3 linked regions of the Caenorhabditis elegans genome follow. The protein of the gene in region 2 interacts with the protein of the main gene of each other region in a biochemical or structural test. Each region holds a gene or a part of one and is shown on either strand. Other genes may lie near its edges.

The links.
Region 1: the proteins of ced-10 (region 2) and srgp-1 form a complex in vitro, tested with the Caenorhabditis elegans proteins (one study listed by BioGRID).
Region 3: of the proteins of ced-10 (region 2) and pdr-1, one has a biochemical effect on the other in vitro, tested with the Caenorhabditis elegans proteins (one study listed by BioGRID).

What each region holds. Positions count from the first base shown.
Region 1 is NC_003282.8:11,567,530-11,574,509, reverse strand, and holds the start of srgp-1 (Rho-GAP domain-containing protein), read right to left. Parts: upstream 4,011-6,980; 5' UTR 3,968-4,010; coding exon 3,799-3,967; intron 2,844-3,798; exon of another isoform or gene 2,541-2,843; coding exon of another isoform or gene 2,480-2,540; intron 1,983-2,479; exon of another isoform or gene 1,774-1,982; intron 829-1,773; exon of another isoform or gene 475-828; intron 1-474.
Region 2 is NC_003282.8:3,503,496-3,511,486, forward strand, and holds ced-10 (Ras-related protein ced-10), read right to left. Parts: upstream 6,033-7,991; 5' UTR 5,999-6,032; coding exon 5,894-5,998; intron 5,614-5,893; exon of another isoform or gene 5,464-5,613; intron 5,106-5,463; coding exon 5,014-5,105; intron 4,747-5,013; coding exon 4,561-4,746; intron 4,077-4,560; coding exon 3,884-4,076; 3' UTR 2,833-3,883; downstream 1-2,832. Other genes in the region: ceh-53 (Homeobox domain-containing protein), read left to right, coding at 256-348; srz-83 (Serpentine Receptor, class Z), read left to right, coding at 949-1,107, 1,272-1,381, 1,435-1,714, 2,177-2,338, 2,387-2,620; tsg-101 (Tumor susceptibility gene 101 protein), read right to left, coding at 6,979-7,109, 7,697-7,990. UniProt on the Caenorhabditis elegans protein: Required in engulfing to control the phagocytosis of apoptotic cell corpses. Required in embryonic development for the correct positioning and orientation of the mitotic spindles and division planes in blastomere cells.
Region 3 is NC_003281.10:13,769,952-13,776,176, reverse strand, and holds pdr-1 (E3 ubiquitin-protein ligase parkin), read right to left. Parts: upstream 4,659-6,225; 5' UTR 4,647-4,658; coding exon 4,578-4,646; intron 4,533-4,577; coding exon 4,387-4,532; intron 4,297-4,386; coding exon 3,864-4,296; intron 3,818-3,863; coding exon 3,727-3,817; intron 3,448-3,726; coding exon 3,243-3,447; intron 3,190-3,242; coding exon 3,115-3,189; intron 3,069-3,114; coding exon 2,927-3,068; 3' UTR 2,833-2,926; downstream 1-2,832. Other genes in the region: mdt-29 (Mediator of RNA polymerase II transcription subunit 29), read right to left, coding at 830-1,060, 1,409-1,618, 2,114-2,221, 2,660-2,707; cyk-4 (Rac GTPase-activating protein 1), read left to right, coding at 4,954-5,059, 5,104-5,215, 5,266-5,758, 5,809-6,180.

The sequences.
Region 1 (6,980 bases), 8.1 Mb from region 2:
GGAGAATTGAAAAACAAAAAGAGCCCCTTTATGTGTCGCAATATTGGCAAAGAGCCTTTTTCTGGTGGTGTCTCCTTCTCAACAATGATACTTCCGCTTCTTTTCTCGAAAGTCATTTATAGTATTAAAGGAAGAAAAGAAATGAGATTCTCACTGCTATTGGAAATAAAAACACCAAAACAGACATTGAATAGGGGATGTAAAGAAAATGAATACTTTACGAGAGGATTGAGAAATTATAGCTGGAATAAACTTATCTTAAATACGGAAAAATGTTTTGTTGAAAACCCCTATTTGATTCTTTGGAAAATAGAAAACGTTGCAACATTTGTACAAATAAACATGAAAACAAACAGACAATACAGACATTTCCCATGCCTTATAGGCCTCTCCTCCCAGCAATAAATCTCATAAGATGGCGGCAACTGTTTGCTGGTTACATTGCACCATCGAGTTCAAATTTGTTTGCCTCGTTGGGAGGGGAAAGGTGTTCTTCAGATCAAATTATGAGTTGCGGGAGAGTAAGCAGAGAGCTCATGGACGTGGAAAAAAGAGAACTGAAATGAAATTTTTCGCGCCGTGCTTTGCCACACACTCTTCCCACACATACACTCATGCATAACATTTTGCAGTGTTTCTCGGCCAAAAAACACGGGAGAAGACTTGTAAAAAATGGCGACTGAGGCAAAAGCATGAAGGACACGCACATGCTCCTCCTCACTGACGTTCTTCTCCTTCGTCTTCCTTCATTCTCTTCCAATTCACTATGATGGTGGTGGAGACGATGAAAACGAAAAACGAAACGAGAATTTGAATGAAATGCGTGAATTAGAGATGAGATGAAACATTAGAGGGTTTTTTAAAAGTAAGGAATACGAGTGCTTATCGGAATCCAGTGCTCAGAACACTAGAAAGATGGAAAGACGCTCCTTCTTTCTTCTCAACGCCTCCTTGTATAATGGAGATCGCCTTGGAGACATACGGACACATTTGGCGGTCTTCTGTGTAGAGAGTGGTGATGCCGCCACCATATTGCTCATCAGCCTAAATGACACAACCAGTGCGTGTGCATTTGTGTGTATGAAGCTACTCTGAGATGAGAGCAATTCAATATCATATTCCCATTCTATTTGGTAGTCCTCCTGCGCGAAGACAACAGTAGTCGTGGGAAATCTATGAGAGAAAGGCGAGGATACTACCTACCTAATTATGTAGTCATAGTCATCGAATTGAATTACACAGCCATTGAAATGTGCCAAGTTGAAGTAGGAATTTAAATCAAGAATTCAATGTGGGAGTTTTGAGATTTTGGCGGAAAATATAGCAGAATAAAATCTACGTCAAGTAATTCTACAGATGGATGAAGAAAAAATTAGTGAAACTAAACTTTGATATTGACAACTATTTTATTCTCTGAATTCTATAAGTCTACACATTGTAGAAATTGAGGACGTAATCCGGCCCAATCTGAATGTTAAGAAATCAATCATTGATAGTGGGTGAGAGAGTCAGAAAGCAGTACAAAGCATATCGTGTATTCTAGTCTACTCGACTAATAGACCGTAGAAATTGGTACATTGAATTGATGGCTATATCTACGATATTTTTGTGGTAAAGGTTTTATGGTGAAACTGCTCAAAATAACGAAAATTGGAAGAAAAAACTAAGAAAGAATGATATAAAGAAGCAACATGTGGTGTCGACCACATGGAATCCGAATTGCAGGTGTGACATACACACATACTTAGAGAACAAAACGAGAGAAAAGGAGCCGATAGATAGATGGACAGATCCCTCTGAAGATGAGTCCATGAGCAAACCCAGAGTGGACGGGACAACGAAGACGGGACAACGAAATTGACGGATCAATTTTGAGGATGATTTATGAAATGGGTGGCCGTGGCTGCAGAAAGAGCTCTGAAGTGCACGGAAGGAGGCATTACTATTGTCTGGGACGCCAGGTCGATTCGAATCGAACAAAGATACGATATGAAGACAAAAACTAGGGAGTGAAGAAAGTATTAGCATTCTTGGGTTGGTAGAAGAAACAATTAAACGTCGAGGACGAGAAGGACGGAAGTCAAGGTGCGGAAAGTAGGAAAAAAGGATCATGAAATAGTATCGGAAAGAATGAAAAAGTAGTAGGAATTGAATGTTGACAAGAGATTCCTTCCACTGTTTATAACATTGTGAGTCATTATTGTCACAGGAATTGGGCCTATCCCACTATCACACGAATTTGATCGAAAAGGAGATAAGATTTGGAGAAAAATAGAACATCGAATTCATGATTCTGAAAGCGTTTTCACATCACATGGTTTTCTGAGTGATTTTTTTTTGTCGTTTTGAAATTATTTGCATAAGAAACTACAGTGGTGAATTTCATGTTTCGTTAAATTCAAAACATATAAACAAAATATTTGTTATCTTGGAAAATTCATACTTTATTCAAGTAGGGCCTTCTACAATTCTAACTAACCTTGGAAATCATACTGATCGTCGACACCAATCGATGCACATAGTGGTAGTCGAATACTCATGTTCGCATGACGTTTAGATCAAAACGAACACCAGTGTGGGAAAATAAGATGGGAAGAGACAGAAGACTAAATGACTTTCGTTCTCTAAGAGATTCTCTCGAGAGAAGACAGAGAGACAACTGCCTTCTCATGGCTCCCGGGTGGGGCGATGATGATCCGTTTCCATCGCATGCCCTTTCATCTTCTGCGTCTTCGTCTTTCTTTTCTAAGTTCCATAGAGAAGAAGAATGATTCCAAAACAACTTTACACACTTACGACACAGGTATAAGGGGAGAACAAGGTTGGCGGCGGCAGTGGCTTCGAATTATTCACTACTCCCCCCGTACTGATGCCCTATCACATTTCTATTATTCCGCAAGTTCCCCTCTAGTATAACTATTCATTACTTTGGTTCAAGTGACAAGTGACTTCCCGCAGTTTCCAACACACAATCGCAATAAATTGTCAATGCGTTGATGTCGCCCGACGATGGCGATGGGGTGCGAAATGAAAATGTTTCTTTTCTTTTTTCCCGCACCGCCCGTGTGTTCTTTCTCTCTCTGACTGTGTACCGACTTCTTTCCGCTGATGATTGTTTAGATAATAGGGTGAAAAGGCGCGAAAAATGGATGAAAATGATAGTGTTCTATACTTAAAATCGCAATTAAAATGTTTGATTATGATGAACAACACTAGGAACATTGAACAAGTTTTTTCCTCACAATGTGGCACGTAATATATGTTTATATCTCTACTTACCCCCAATTCGTGATGGGATCAACATAAACTAGTTGGAGAGGGTGTGAGCGGAAAGAAAAAACAACGAAATGAATTCAATGTAAACTTGGAGGGAAGATCAAGATGACAAATACTTTTAATAAACTTTGAAGCTTAATATATCGAACTATTTTTTAGTTTTTCAGTTTTGATACTCAAACGCGAAATTTTGCGCCAAAAATATGGCTCCCGGTCTCGACACGATAAATTTTGGTTGAATTTTCGAAAAAGTGTGCTTTAAAAACTACTGTATTCTCAAACTCAAATAAAATCCATAAATTTTTAACAAATTGTTAGAAAAACTTAGAGAATTAATTAAATTTCCTCTTCGTATTTTTCAAAAAAAAATTGTCGTGTTGAGACCCGTTACCGTATTTTGGCTCGAAAATCACAAAGTTTTGTGTCTGGGTAATACGGAAGGTTTTTTAATTTTTTTTGTTGCAAAATTCTCGAAGTTACCAAAAGAAAAGATTACGATTCCAACATTTCAAAAAATCTCACCTTTAGCAGCACACTCCAAATCGTGTACAATCGCCTTTTCTTGTTTGTGCTGTGAATGTTTTCTCACGTCCTGTGAGCATCTTCTGTCTGCTGATGTTGATGAAGTTAACGTCATCGAAGTTTCCTCGTGCTGGCCACCGGCCCCACCTTCAGACGAAGACGTCGTCATGTTTGGGGTCGGCACGGGTGAAGCAAGTGGTTTGGGTGAAATTCTGGAAAAGAAAATTATAAATTGAATGAATGATATCGGGTTGAAGGGGAAAGTATGGAAGAAACACGGATTGTTTGAAAAAAACAAAGGATAGGCAAGGAGAAAAGGAGGACAATTTATAGAATTTGTTTGATTGATTTATAAGAGTTGAGTGGCTAGAGTTAGTTTGAGAAAGCACAAAAAAAGAGATGGGCAAGCAAAAAGCGCAAGGAGCGGGACGAAAAAAGTAACTAGCTTGGCAGATGGTAAAGCCCGCGTTTGCCCCCTTACTGCTACTTCACATAAATCAACGTGTGGCTGGCGAAAAATAGAAAAAAAAAGTGAACAAGGGTTTGGTGGACGTAGCTTTCAGAAAAACAGTGGAAAGAAACACCGAGGACGGCATGTAACAATACGGTTTCAGGACAAGAGGAACGACAGAAAAATAATAGGAATTGCAAAAAGAGAATAGACATCAACATAAAGTGAAGCAGATGGACTGAATTAAGCATATGTATTTGATTTCGTTTTTGCTAAAGTCATCGTCTTTTTTTTTTGAAAACAAAGCCACTAGGGCGCAAACAATTAATATTTTACATACATATTTGAGGGGCTCCCGTAGATGCATAGTTACCTGAAATAATTTTTTAACAAAAAAGTATAAATATGAATTGATATTTATAACAAGCTTAAAAATATCAAGTTAGAAGTAAACCGACATTCGTTGCTCTTCTTTTCTTCAAGAAAAGTAATTCCTCAATAGAAGATTAACTATGGATTAAATATTGACCCTTTCAATAGAAACGAATCTATTTTCGAGAAGAAGAAGAAGAAAACATAAATGGAACGGACAAATGTTTATTCATCCGAGATTATGTAAAAGTATTACTATGAGGCAACAGGAGAGGGGAAGACCAGGACAATGTTATCTTTATTGTCCATCAACATCATATTCCTCTTCCACGACAACATTCAATCGGCACCTAACATATACCTGATGAATGAGAAATGAAGAAAAACATCCCAAATAACGGATATTGGTTTTGGAGCTGACTGGCAAAAGGATGCCATCAATCTTGACTCGGTCTCTAAAGCCTTTCGGCTATTCCAAAAAATTCATGCTTTTTTTTGGAAGACGAAGCAGGAAAGGAACGATTGAAAGTGAAAAACGCCTTGGGCTTCTTGAAAAAGAGAGGAAAACTTTTATTTTAGTTTTCTCTTTCCGACAAACAAGGGCGCTGCCGGACACTGCCGGACACAAGAGACAAGAATAACTTTTTTCTGACAACATAAAGAAATGAATAGCGCACTGGGAATATTTTTTATATAAAAATTTTAGAATTAATAAGCTCAGAATGGATTATATAGTCTCATGAGTACATAAATATTTAAAATTAAAGAAAGTGTATTCCAATGAAGAAGGAATAAGAATGTTATGTAATGATGACGTTCATCGGTCTCATTGTCTCGTCCACTTGGGAAGAACAAGGTTCCAATTGGCACCTTCTCGTAGTGGCCGTCGTAATATCCCTACACTAATCCTCCTTACACGGCTAATGTACTCTTATGGGAAACGAAAAGAACATGAAAAATGCGAGATAGGCAATACAGTACAGTCTATATATTTATTTGCATTTTGCAATACCATATAGAAATTCGAAATGTGCGTCGAGAAAGAGAAAAATAAAGTGTGAAACGTATGTTTGCCGTAATTAACAAGCGCATTCGACGACTAGAGGTGCGTGCGCGCTCCGCCGAGCCTTTCCAAGGTCTGTAAACACGGATTGGAGCGATAGAGCGGTCAAGACTAGAGAGACGTAGGTGGTTAGACACATGTTCTTCCCGAATGAAGAAGAATCTCCAAAAAAGACCGGTCCGGAAAGAAAATCTATGAAGCTATTCCAATTCCCATCACTGAATCCATGAACATGGTGGAGGGCTGAGAAGTCAAGCGTGACCGGCAGAAGGACATGGAGATCCGGTGCCTATCGACTAGCCACAACTGGTGAGCGTCGAAGAAGAGAAGATGTTGTGATGAAATTCGAGATTGTCAGCGATAATCGAGAGACTAGGTCAAGTAGTGGAAACGCAGAGAAAGGGGGAGACGATGACGTGGATGCTCTTTAATACAGGTTGAAATAAAGAAAGAAAGAAAGAATAGACTGAAAACATATGAATAAAAACATTATAAATGTCGAAGGAGACAATATGAAAACATGTAGGGAGCGGATGATGGACGGTATTCTAATAGTAATAGTAAACGAATAAAAGAACGATGTGAATCGGGTCAAAACCAAATTAGTTTCGAGTGTCCTTCTGAAGAGGCTAAGGGATTCAAAAGCGGATTTCATGATGATGCGATTACATCTGATCCTACAGTATTTTATACTTTAACTCCATGTGTCACTGTAAAATATCGAGAAACTTGAGAGCAGTGTTGTCTCGATTTACTGAATATATCAGTAAAAATGAATAGAATATTTCTAAATATTGCGAAAAAACTGATAAATTGTGCTTCAATTTATAAAACAAAAACTCAATTAATTCAGCCGGAAATGTCGAAACTAGGTCAATAAAATTCTCTGATTAAAAAACCTATTTTAAAAATTAGAAAAATGCTATGATATTTTACGAGTCGTATTCAGTATAACGATACTGGGTTTGAAATTTAAATAATAAATAAAACCCACAAATTGATCAAAATAATTTCAATGCTTTCAAGTTCATAACTCAAAATTGTCATTAAAAATCGGGTAAGTAAAATAAATGCGGATTTGTATAATTCATGACCGACAAAATAAGGATAAAACTTATTAGCATCATAATGGATGTGTTGAGCGGCGGATGCGGGCGGCACACACTCAAAAGAAGTAAAAGAACATGCATTGTTTATCCGCGGCTCATTCGTCATAACAAGCTCTAATAAAGTAATAAATACCTAATGGACGTGAATAGAACGAAGGAAAAGGACCAAAAAAGGATATGTGACACC
Region 2 (7,991 bases):
AATAGGCATAGGCAGGCATGTAGGCAGGGGAACAAACTTTTTTTTTTAAGTTTTCGAATATTTGCTTACCTACTTACAACAAGATTAGCCTAATCTCTCTTCCCATCACCCAAAATAGTTACAGTACCTGGGGGGGGGGGGGGGGGGGGTAACCTGATATTCAGATTAGGTACTTGTATTAGGTGGCTCGGAGTACAAGATTAAGCCGCCCAAGTAAGTGGGGAGTAAAACAAATATTTTTTAGAGTTTTTGCAGATTCCTACACATTTGCTGGCGGCCACGACGACGGCGGCATCGATAGGCAGTGCCAAATTGGTGGCAAATGTTGGAAGTAATATTATTTCTTGAGTTGTGTTTTGTTTTTGTAAGTATATTATTAATTAGAAATTGAATTGGAATAATGAATTTTAATTTTTTAAAAAAAACTTTTTTCTGAGAATAATTTTCGAAAATTTAAATTTCTGAGTTTTTTGAAACTTTTTTTTCTAAATTGTTAATTGGCCTCCAAGTTTGCCCCTGATTTCGAATATTTATGTGAAAAAATTCAAAAAAATTTCCCTGATTTTAAATTTCAGCTAAAGATCGAGTTTCATTTGTGCACCCATGACCTTTTCAAATGTGTGCTCAAAGAAATTCACATTGGAGCACGCTTGCTTCATCTCGATTTCCGGGAGCTAAGCAAGCGCACTCCAATGATAATTTTTTGGCGCGCATTTGAAAAAACTCATGGGGACGCAAAGTGATTTCAAGCTCAAATATAAAATCAGAGAATTTTTTTTCGAAATCAGGGGTTTGTACTTGTTTGAAAATATTTTCCAAATTTCGGTACTCCACCTTTAAACAGCTGCCAATTTTATTATTATTATTTTCTCATAGTTTCTCAAGTGCAGGTGAATTATCGCACCCCATTTCTACTCACTTTTTTTTTCAAAACCCGAGTAGAAATCAATGAACGACACCAAAATTTCAAATAACTCCGATAACATATATTTCGAAAGCATAGGAGCTGAATTTGACCTTATATCATATGCTTTTTTATTAATTAACTTAATTATATTTCCATTCTACAAGTATCTCTATGAAATCAATAGAGACCGGGACAAGAAGGTAATGGGGTTATTCAAGTAATGTCGGAAAATTAAAAAGTGTAGAAAAATTACGTCACAACTGTATTCAAGTATATAAAAACATGTATCTAAATACATTTTGCTACATTACTTGAATAACCCCATAAGTGATTTTCTGAAAATTAGTGGAAAATTTTTTGGTAGATGCTGCTCTTCCCAACAGTTCAACATTTTTACGAAATGGTGCAGCTAGCGTATTTCCTGTTTGTTTTCTCGATTATTCTCCATACGTTGCTACATGTAATTCACGAAATGTACTGTTTCAGTTTTAAAAAAACCATTTTTTAAAGAATTTTCTGATTTCCAGTGTAATAATTCGCTTTCTAATCGTTGTGATCTTTTATGCATTGTGTTTTACCATGTATCATCTTACAAAGGCATTTTATCTTACCACGTTTTTCCTGGCATTCCAACAATTTCTGGTTTTCTATTTCCCAAAACTGGAGAAGCAAGTTTCAATTATCCAGAAACACTTTTTCAAGGACGTTTGGTATTTATATATCATATTTTTAATAACAGAAGCGATACTATGGGTTCTATCAAATGGAAGCACAGCGGCTGAGGCAAAGTTTGACACATTTTCCAGTGTACGTTTAATGGAACTTTGACACCTGAAAACTATTCAGAATCATCAGATAAATTTAATTTCCCGCCAAATTATTTTCTCATAAAATCTAAAATTTCCAAGAAAAAAACTTTCAAAACCTTTTTTTACCTTTTCCGCCAAATTTGATTAGAACTTTTGAATTTCCCGCTGTAGATTAATTCAGAATATTTGGATTTCCCGCCAAAAATTGTTATATTTTCATTCAGAGTAAAATTTTTTGTAGAAAATTTAAATTTCGCGCCAAAGATTTTTCAGTAAAATTTTTTAAATTTCTTGTCAAGCTTTCTATCAGAAAAGTTGCATTTCCAACAAAAATAGTATCACAAGAAATTGGTATCTTCCACAAAAAATTTATATCTGAAAATTTGAATTTCCGCATAAACTTTTCTTTGAAAATTCTGACTGTCCCGTCAATCCGATATTACATAATTGACTATTTTAGGCAACCATCATTATTCCGTATGTCTTACAACTGTTTTCAACACTATTTTATATTCCGATCATGAGAAGCGTTAGAAAAAATGCTTACGTAACCTCTGGTCATTATTATATTCTGCAAAAGTACATTTTCTGGCAGGCAGTCACTGCGCTAATATTTGAATCGGTATTTAGTTCGATGTAATTCAATTTTATTTTTTGAACCAGTTTTCAGTTCCCAATCATATTTAGCACTATCCAGTTGTTACATGGTTCTTGTGGGTGCTCTTTTGTGGTAATCGCTACCTTAGTGAGTACTCTTATAACTCCGTTGACTATTCAAGTTCCGTATTTGGGAAGCAGAAAATGGATTGGAGATTCATCGGAAAAAATCAGTTTGAAAAGATTTATCAAAGTGATTTTGGGGATCAAGAGTTTCAGCGTCAACCCACACATTAACGATCAATGAACACACACACGTGCTTGCTGGGTGGCCAATGCCCGGGGACTAGAAAACTCCTAGAAATCTAGGTTTTCTAGGCCACCGAGAAAACAAAAGTTCGGAAATTTTTTAGGATTTTTTTCATTCATTTCTGTGTCCGATTAACAAATGTAAAAAAACTCAGAATCTGAAATTTTTGATCGAAAGTTTCAGAAAAATCTGTAATCTCTGCAACTTTTCGAATTGTTTTTTTTTCCAATTTTTCCATCAAAAAATGTTCAAATTTAAAATTCCATCATAGAAAAAAAGTGTGGTAAAATATCATATCATCATATTAAAATAGCATAATAAAAGTTGGACAAAAAGAAGAGAAATTAACAATTAAAGTAAGAAAAAAGGGAAAAAGAGCCGAGTTTGTTGTTCAAATTCACAATAGAAAAAAGAGGATTTTTGGTTGTGGAGAGAGGGTTCGTTGTGTCCTAAAAATTACAAAAAAAAATCGAAAGTTTTTGAAAAAAAGTTTCAGAAAAATTCCAAATAATTTTTCAAACAAATTCCAAAAAGTTTGAACATTTTTTAGAAAAAATCGTAGAGATTTCCAAACATTTTCAGATTTTTCGAAGAAATTTCACAAAAATTTCGAAGAAATTTCAAATAAAAAAAATAAACCGATAAAAATTAGAGAGGAAAAAGCACTTGTGGTTTTTGGGGAAAAGTTATTCAATTTTTCAGATGAAAAAAGACCTATTTCAGGTGGGAAAAGGGGAAAAGCACAAAATTATGAATGGACAAATTGAGCATTTTTCGGCTCAAAAATGAGCACAAAATATGCTGAAAATTGGGGTGGATAAGTAAGAAAAGTATCACAGCGAGTTTAAGATGAAAAATCGTTGATACAAAACAAATTTTTAGAGATAAAAATAGAGGGGGAAAATGAGAAAAAGTGTGCTGGAAATTCAGATTTAGAGAGTGGAAACGCCCAGATTTTGGACAATTTTCTGGAAAAAAATCGAGAAATTTTCGGCTGAAATTGAGCTTTTTCAGTGGAAATTTGGCCGATTTTCGGTTAAAAAAAATAGTAATTTTCAGCCGATTTGGAGCATTTCTTTGAACGGAAATCGGCGAGTTTTTTGCCTAAAAATGCTCAGTTTTTGCCAATTTTTACTCCCTAAAAACCGGTAATTTCACAGCAAAATTCATCGATAAAACAAAAAAAATCCAGATGATATATGTATATATATAGTTAAAATTGTTGTAGTTTCTGCGATTGTTTGCTCCAATTTCCCCATCTTAGAGCACCGTACACTTGCTCTTTTTGGCTCTTTGTGGCGGCGTGAGCACGGCTCGGATCGCCTCATCGAAAACTTGTTTCAGACCACGTTGCGTGAGCGCCGAGCACTCCAGATACTTGACAGCCTTGATTTCCTTTGCCATCACGTAGCCCTGGGTTTGGCTCACTGGTTGGAGCCGGCGTTCGCGGAGCCTGCAAAAAAAATTTTTTTTTTCGGAATTTTTGCAAGTTTTCTCGATTTTAAGCCAATTTTGTTTAATGTGCTTTTTTTCAAAATTTCAAACTTTTGTCCACAATTTATGCGAATTTAGTGCAACTTTTTACATTTCTTTAGCGATTTATCTTAATTTTAATTTTTTTTTCAACATTTTGAGCAAATTTCTCAAAATCTTGCAAATTTTTTTCCAAAATTTTATGTGAATGTTGTGCTATTTTACGCAACTTTTCATACAATTTTTGCAATTTTTTTTCCTGAAATTGATGCGTTTTTTCCTTATTTCTCATTTTTTTGCCGTTTCTAATGATTTTTCTAATGTTTTGGCGGTATTCCTTCAATTTTTAAGTGATTTTCTGAATTTTTATGCGCTTTTTCGAATTTTTTGGCAATTTTTCATCATTTTCTACAAATTTTTCACTTTATTCCTCAATTTTTCTCTCAAATTCTCCAAAAATCTACCGTTCAACAGTATCTCGATCCTCACGCAGATCAGCTTTCGTTCCAACCAAAATAATCGGCGTATTCGGGCAATGATGTGACACTTCTGGATACCATTTCGCACGAACATTCTCAAAACTCGCCGGATTGTTCAGGGCAAAGCATACGAGAAACACGTCTGTTTGTGGATATGACAGTGGTCGGAGTCTGCAAATTTTTTTGGTGTTGAAAAATTGATAATTGGGGTAATTTTTAGTGCAAAGTGCGAAAAATTCCATGTTTTTCGAGTTTTTCACCACAAAATAGCTTCAAAATCACTGTCATTTTATGAAAAATTGGATGAAATTTTCTAAAATGTGATATTTTCCACATTTTGATTGAGGAAAATATCACATAATCCTGAGCAATTTTTTATTGAAAAAACCCATAATCCTGAGTTTTTTCGAGCATTTTCAGTTTTCCCGCTGCCCGTACCGATCGTAATCTTCCTGTCCAGCTGTATCCCAGAGCCCGAGATTTATCGGCCGACCGTCGACCATCACATTTGCTGAGTAGTTGTCGAATACCTGGAAAAAATTTGAATTTATGGGAAAAAAGCATTTTTTTGGGAAAAAGAAGACACCTTTCATATTTTTTGCGGGAAATTGTGCGCTTTTCAAAATTTTCAATTTTTTTGTTGCAAAAAGCCTACAATTTTATTGCATTTTTAAAAGTTTTTTGAATCAAAATTTTCTAGATTTTCCGTTTAAAAAAACTGAAGTTTTTTGAAATTTTCGACATTTTTTTTTCAAATAAAAATACCAATTTTTATATGAAATTTCACCATTTTCCCAGCTTTTGGTATAAAAAATATTAATTTATTGATTTTTATGGGAACAAGTTGACAATTTTCATATTTTTCAGCAAAATTTCGCTAAAAATGTGTTTCTTAAAACGATTTTTGCAGAAAACTTTTTTATCGCATTTTGAAAAGTTTTTTGTCTAGATTTTCCGTAAAAAACGGAAGTTTTAATTTTCATACTTTTCAGTGAAATTTCACTTATTTTTTTGATTAAAAAAATGTACTTTTTAAAACGATTTTTAGCAAAAAAAATTTAATTTAAATTATTTTTTATTTAAATGTTTTATAAATCAAAATGTTCACGATTTTCAGTATTGATAATTTCACTATTTTTCCCAGTTTTTGGCCTAAAAAAATATTTATTTCAATGATTTTTGGATCAAAATACAACAATTTTGAATATTTTTTGCCTAAATTTCTTTGTTTTTTTTTTTCGATTTTGTGTCAAAATGTCCTATTTTCTGAGCCAAAAAACGTAATTTTATCTCAATTTTTGCTTTAAAAATGACTCACCGTCGGAATATATTCTCCGGGAAATGCGTTTGTGGTGTAGGATATCAGGAGACACGTTTTACCGACGGCTCCGTCACCAACGACGACACATTTGATCGCTTGCATTTGTGGGGAGCTCCGCGAGCACAAGCACAAAAAGCTGGAAAAATTGGCTTAAAAATAGCAACAAAAAAAATCTATCAAAAATATTGAAAAACCGCCAAAAATCACGGTATTTTGAGCGAAAAAATCAGAAAAAAATGGGGGGAAAAATCACATTTAAATTAAAATTTTTGTACAAAAAATAAATGAACAAAAAACCTGAAAAAGTCATCGAATTTCGAGAGAAAAGCGAGCTTTTCCCCCGGGAAAAATGGGGAAATGGGTGCAAAATTGGATATTTTAAATGGGGAAAAATCTAGAAAATTGTGTCTATAAAACGGAAAAAAAGAGAGAGAGAGAGAGAACAAACCAAATCACAACGGGCATCAAGACGGAGAGAAAGGGAGTATTAGAGAAAAATGGCGGCAATGGGAGAAATTTTGAAATGAGAAGATGGAAAAATGAGTGAAAACCGTAATTTTTTTGACAAAAAAGTCACTGAAATTCGTCGTAATTTACATGTTTCGGCTGGAAAATCGTCAAAAAAAGAAAGCTTTTTTCGAGGTAATTTTCAATAGAAGCTCCATCATTTTTAACGGGAATTATTGAAATTTACAATTTTCGGCTGAAATTAGAAGATTTAAGTGAATTTTTAACGGAAAAACATGTAAAAAACTTGAAAAATCACGGAAAAGCACCGAAATTTTGATGTTAAACAATTTTTCATCAGGAAAATAAATGAAATATGGAATTTTTAGCTAAAATCGTTTTAAAAAAATGCATTTTTCTCGATTTCTCAGCAATAATTTTAAGTTTTTCGTCAGAAAATCGCTGAAATTCCCACTTTTTATTGAAAAAAGTATTTTTCATCCAAAAATCGAGAATTTTATCGAATTTTTAGCATTTTTATGGACAATTTTTCACGATTTTCCAGTTTTGGTCAAAAAATTAGCAATTTTTTCTCAAAAATTTCCACGATTTTCAATCCAAATTTTATTTAAATTTTAAATAGGAAGACCAGCAGTTCGTCGACATTTCTGCATTGTTGCTCGGTAGATAAATTGCTCTCGGGACACGTCACGAACATGGCGGAGGTATTCGGCAAGTGTTATTTGGCGTTTTTTCAGTGATTGACCTGAAATTTTGAAGATTAGGCAAAAAAAAAATTTCTCATAAATACCATAATTTTTTTTCGTTTTTTTTTTTGCTGGATTTCGGAAAAATTTTTACACCGAAAATTTGCTGAAATTCCAATTTTCAGTCATTTTCAATAATTTTTCTATCAAATTTCCGCAAAAAAAAAACACTTTTGCTAAAATAAAACCGAAACTGATTTTTGAACGATTTCAACAAAATTTTGGAGTAAAAATGGCTGAAAATTGTTCAGAAACTTCCAATTTTTTGTAGTTTTTGTGAATTTTCTAGAATTTAAAGTCAATTTTAACTAATTTCTGTTTTTTTTCGGGGGTTTTTGAATGATTTGTAGTAGTGCTAATAGACGAAATCGTTGAAAAATTTCAGAAAAACGCTTTTAATTTGGCTTCAAATCTCTCAGAAACTTCGAAAAATCTCAACTTTAATTTAATTTTTTTGAAACATTTTCACTAGTTTTTCTTAATTTTCAACTTCTGCATTTTTTGAAAACAATTTTTGCACATTTTCCTCAGGATTGAGCAATTCCAGCTAGATTTTTCCAATTTTTCCCAACTTTTCGTTCCATACCAAGTGAATAAATGACGTCATCACATGTCAAATCTTTCGCATAATTGAGCACAATTTGTCGGTGCAACGGAAAAGCGGCATCAATTGCCTCATCAATTGGTGGAGCATCAGTGCCTCCAGCGTCTGAAAGAGCTTTCGCGAGCTCTGCTTTCTTTGCCGTATAGATTTCACAGGCGGTCTGAAGGCTGCTCCGTTGAGTTTCGAGCTCTTCGAGCATTCTTTTCAGCTTTTGCTGTCCTTCACGAAGCTCGTCGCTCGTCGTACGGATTGATGCCATTTCTGCGCTATTTGTGCC
Region 3 (6,225 bases), on a different chromosome or scaffold from region 2:
TCTCGCCACTGAAGATGATCTGAGACCAAAACATGAGATTGAATGATCATACCGTAATCCTCACTTGTCTCCAGTTAGTTCTCTGGCTGATTTTAGCAAACTGAATAAGATTTTGGCCGTGTTTTTCGGTAATGAAATTAGCCTTTATTAATTTTCGTCTTTTGATAAACTGGGACTTCGAAGGACACGACGTACGGTCTCAACAGACACTGGCAGGTTCATCTCGCTCCTACTTTTCGAGCAAGTCACTGTTCAATTGAATGCTCGACGAACGATTTTTCGCTTGTCTCTACCAGAAAGGAGTGGTGGGCGACCAGAAGACTTTTTGGTGCAATAAGCGGCAGGATTTGAAGCATATCGAGTGATCATATCTCTCAAACGTTTCAAATCACGAAAAATCTGACGATCCGAGAAGCCTTGAGATAATTTTGCACAATTTGTCCTTTTTCGTAGTCAGTTAAAGTTATTCCACGACCCATAGCTGTAAAAACACAAACGAACATGAAACCTAACGTTTAGCAAAAAAAATTGCAAAAAAAACGAAAAAAGAAAACAAAAACCAAGGGTGGCCGTATCATTTTGTGGATTTTTTTATATGGTTTTTCATGAAAAAATGGTTTATCTTTTTTTACGAACGGTTCAGGTATATTTCCAATACTTATCTGAAAGTTAGCCAGTACAGCGAACATTTTCACAAGAAACTATGTTTTGCTATCTCAACCCAGTTTTGAGTTATACCAAAATTTGGGGGTGGCCGTATCATTATGTGAAGCACTGTATATTTCTTCTCTGTTTTTTTAAAATTTTTCAATAAAATCCGAAAATTTACCGATCCAGGTCTTTGAATGCTTCCGGGTTGTTGAATATGTTGACTTTGCTGAGACCCCGGCCTTGATAATGTCTGCTGTTGTGGCTGCAAATGCATTGGGTACTGATGCTCCATTTGTGAGCCCGGGAGCCCGGGTGCACCAGATGTGTGTTGTAAATTGACGGGAACCGACGACGGCGGAGCAACTGAGCCTGGACGTGAGACGTGTGTTGGCGGAAGAGACATTGGTTGCTGAAATTACATTTTTTTTTCAGCTAAAAAAGATTGTCACAAATTACTTTTATTTGGAGATTTATGTTTGAACGGCCAATTGTTTTAGATTGGTTTTTTTTTAATTTCCAACAAAAATTCTGAACAAAATAATCGGAAATTTGAATGAAAGTAGAGTTCGGAAAATGGGGATTTACTTTCAGTTTTAAAATACTAGGAACATTCCATATGCTGAAATACCACAAAAAAAAGAAAAGAAAATGAAAATTCCAAAAACACGAATTTCCAACTCTCACTAATTTCCCCTTTTTGAATTTTTTCCAAATATTTTTTCAATAGTTCTAAGTTTTATCAGAAATCTCCCCGTACATTCATGCCCATTTGCTGTTGCATCATCTGTGGAGTGGTCGGATTTGCGGCAGTGGGCACCGACGAGGGAGCCTGAAGCTGTGCTCCAACTAGAGGGCTTCTCGGTTGCATTTGTCCTTGTGGTTGAAGATGAGGATGCATTTGGAGATGAGCACCTCCCGGCGAGCCTCCTTGTGGTACCATTTGTGGAGTTCGAGCTCGTTGGTATGGCTGAAAATTGTGGTAAATCGATATTTTACAGAATAATAGGTACTTGTGTATTATACCCCCGCCATTTTAGAAATTAATTAAATTTCCATTAATTTATCCGTTTAAATTAAACGTGATACCCATTTTCCTTGTTAGGCTTAGGAATGGTGTTTTCCTAAGCCTAAAATTCCACACGTTTTTATTTTATAAGCTAAAAAATTAATTTTTAAAATGGCGGGGGTATAATACACAAGTACCGAATAATATATGTTTAAGCGCTTTTTATTTGTATCGTAGTGTTATTATTTACTATTTAAAAAAACCGAAATGGTATGTTTCCTATCAAATTTCTTTAGTTTTAGCGATAAAATACGCTAAATCTGTTTAATTTAATGTTTTAAAAAATTTCGATCAGAAATTTGCGGAAAAAATCATAAAATATTTTAATTTTACGTTAAAAAATTTATCAGAAAGTGCTATTTCAAATTTTCGATAAATTGGACGGTATATTACTACCTGTTGAGCCTGTTGTTGTATTTGCTGTTGACGTTGCTGCTGCATTTGTTGTTGCTGCATTTGTTGCTGCCGCATCATTTGTTGCTGCTGTTGCTGCTGCATTAACATCTGAAATGTTTTTATTTTATAATCTTTTTATTCCTAGTTTAAAATTTGGTTATATGGTTTTAAAAAAGCTCTGAAAACGTCTTAAAATGAAACTTTAAAGGATATTTGAGTGAGAAATTTTCAAATTTCAGTTAAAAAATGCGGTGAGTTTTGTTTTCATGAAAAAGTTGTTTTTTTAATTTTCATGAAAAAAATAATTTTCAGCCCACTCCAAAACTGAGATATATCCCGAAGCTCAAGAAATGTTTCCATGTTGGTGTGATTGTACATTTTCATTAATTTTTTTTGTTCCCAAAATTAAAAAAAAGACATTTTTTGACTTCAATTGTTTTAAGGATGAAGCCGTAGAAAAGTGTGAAATTTTTCCGAAAAAGGTTGTAAAATGTGCTCAAATTCACTAAAATTTACTCTCAAGTTCAAAAGCACAAAAAATCTTACATGTTGTTGCTGCGGCGTCATACTTGGTGGAGGTCCTTGTCCTGACATGTCTATGGAGATCCCTGCGAGAAATGTGTTCTTTGAAATTTGGCAAAACATTTAAAAAAAGGTATGAAATGAGCGAAATACTCAGCAACAAAAATTGAGAAAAAGATCTAAAATTTGAAGAGAAAAAATGTCAATGTAACTTCAGACACACCGTAATTGTTGTAAAAATCTACAGAATAACACGTACAATCTCTAGAAAAGATGAATTTTAGAGAGTTATTAATTAAACCAATGGTCCCATTGACACTCTTCCTTCCATTCTGTCTTGCACTTGAAACACCAATCCATTCCACACGAGGTACAGTGAATGTGAGCACATCCGCCGTTCCGTTCGGTTGCCACGTGGCATTTTGGGCATCTTCTGGAAGAATTTACAGTTTTTTGTAGTGGATAATCGCTGAGATCACCTTGTAGTCGCGTCAATTGTAGTTCGGGTGAGATCGTCTTCGCTCTGGCACACACAATTTCTTTCGAAGCACTTTCTGAACGATGATATTTATTGCGATAAAATTTCCGATTTAGAAGCTCAAAATACCTGCAAAACGAAAAAAAACAATCTGGACACTGGGATCTTCCATCGTCATCATAGGGCTCCCAGAAGAAGCTCTGCCCACACGAGACATTCGGGCAAGTCACACCCTTGTCGTCCACGGCAATCAATCGCTCGGTGGCTTTCCGTTGGTATTCGCTGTACGACGTCTGACCCATAATGTGGAAATGGTGCACATCTTGTACCACTCCTGAAGTTATTTTTCAATTAAATGTTCTGTTTAATTTCTTTAAAACTTTTTTTTTCAATTTTCTCGGCATTGAAAAACTATTGAAACATGTGAGAAAATTTTCAAAATAAATTTAAATAGAACGGGTGGGGGTTTTTTTTGCAAAAAAAAAACCATGCCAGACTTGCAAAATGGAAACATAACATATTTGTATTTTTTGGAAGATTTTTTGTTTCTATCAATTAGTTTTCAGGATCACTACTGCAGAAAATTGAATGGTTTTGATAAAATCGAACGAACTATTGCACCCTGGATAGGGGCAGAAAATGGTGAAGCCATGCGGCGGCTGATTGACAAAACCGAATCGTTCCAGTTGACTTAGCAAATAATCCTTTAAAATTAAACAATTTCAACAAAAAATTTAGATTCTTACTCACTCTGAAACAGAATTGGCATGTAATATGATTGCATCCGAGGTCGAAGATCACTTTCTCCTTCCCATCACAAACACAGCACTCGGTCATTTGCCAATTTCCGCGTACGTGAGTTAGAGCTGCGGCCGGATCGTTGCAGGCTAGACATTTGAACTTGAATTCAGCGAAAAGACCTGGAGTACAGCATTCTTCGCAGACCGCCGGTATTCTCTTGCTTTTGAGAACGTCGGACCAGTTCTGGGGTTCAGATTTGACTAGAACAGAGGTTGACGAGCATTTTTGGCAATAAACCCGCAGTTTGCCGCGCTTGACGTCGTCACAATTTTTGCACCACACGTAGAAGCTTCCGAGAATTGAAGAATCTGTTGTTATTTTTGCAGTAGTAGCACCGTTTTCGTTGTGACTATTGAACTTTGGACGGAGAAGCATGATTTGTCTGAAATAATATTATTTGAATAACAATTCCAGTTATTTATATAAATAACAATTCCAGTTATTTATATAAGTAAATATTTACTTGACCTACGTTGCAGGTGTCAGTGACAAATCCCTCATAATCGTTGATTTTGATAACTTTTTCCCACAGAAAACCACTTCCAGCTCATCGCTGGGAATTTCGGTGAGCTTTTCCACATCTTTTGTGAGATCTTCGATATTTCCAGTTATATTTATCTGAAAAAAATAATGTATATATTCAAAGTTTGAAATGTCCACTACATTAAGTGTTAGATTCCTACGTTGACCTGTTTTTCTATCTTGTATTAATATAGAGATTTCATCAGACATGCTTCATGAGAGCTGAAAATTTGACTTAGAAATTAACAAAAAAATTTCCTGCTAGCGGGCCTGCTTGCAGTTTTAAACATTAAATTCAAAAAACTAGTCGAGGCCTTGAAGCCCCATGTTTTTGTGCACACTAGTCCTCGCAGTCATGTGCGCCCTATGGCAAGCGTAGCGGGTCGCGTCGCGTGTGAGACAAACGCAGCGAGCTTCAAATTCGAACTGTTTTCCACGAAATTTGAAACGGTTTTCACGCATTTTTCTCTTATTTTCGGGCGAGTTTCTCGTTTTCTAATCATTTCCACATTTTAGAATGAAGTCCAGTACATCAAAAGAGAAGGTGTGCGGCGAAAACTCGCGTCACATTTTCAACATGATTCTAAACTCACAGCGACCGCAATTCGATATTAAGGATATAGGTTAGTTTCAATTATCATTTTCAAATTTTAATGACGTGTTTCAGGAATGTTTCATTTGATTGATGAGATTGAGCGTCTCCGCAAGCTGTGGAAAGATTCCGAGGAATCCAAAAAGCGGCTGAATGCAGATATGAGAGAGGCCGAAGAAGCACTTGCGTAAGTGAAATATTTCATGTTTACGTGTTTAGAAAACACTATTATTTCAGAAAAGCTCGCAAGAAGCTGGCAATGTTCGATATCGATGTCAAAGACACTCAGAAACATTTACGCGCGTTGATGGAAGAAAATAAGGCGTTGAAGCTCGATCTAAACGTCTACGAGACTCGTGAAAAGCAGCTGAAAGATGCGATGAAGAACGGTATATTCAATAGTCTCACCAAGGAAGACCGCGATCAGTTCAAGTTTCTTCACGAGCCACTGGTCCGGACATACTCGAAACGGGTGCAGCAGAGGCATCCACATTTGATGGAGGACACACAGGACGATGAGGACGATAGTGAGGTGGATTACGATGAAACTGGAGACAGTTTCGAGGAAGTTATTCATTTGCGCAATGGAAGAGAGGTCAGAAGAAGCTCAGCTGCTGGAAACGCAGTTGGTGGCAAGCGGAGAAGCGCGTCAGCACATGCGATTACTGCTGCTGCCAATTCGAAGAGGAGCAGAAGCCGTGTTATGACAGCTACTATAGATGAAGAGCCGGTAAAAATTATGACATGACAGTTTTTGTTGAATTGCGTTTGTTCTTTCAGAATGAGGGTGGTACACCTCCAAAAAGATGCCGTGATGATGGTTCTACACCTCATCAAGAAATGACAACTACCACCACTACCACCACCACCACTACTATTCATAACTCTCGAGCTCAGAACCAGGACCCGCCACGTGTCTCACTTCACCGCCAGCTCACCCGCAGGAGCTTGAGCTGTGGAAGTATTCCATCATGCGATCAAACACCAGGACAAACCACAAATAACATCGGCCTCGGCATGTCGTCCGCCATTCTCACCAAAAGCACACTTGATATCCGAACCCTGAAACGTGGCACGCCGGCGTGGACTAATGGAACAACTCGTGACATCGCAATGAGACCACACACGTTTATAGAGGCAGGAATCAAAGCGGTACGTGTAAAAAATGCTAACAAATTTCTTTAAAGTGAGCTCTGT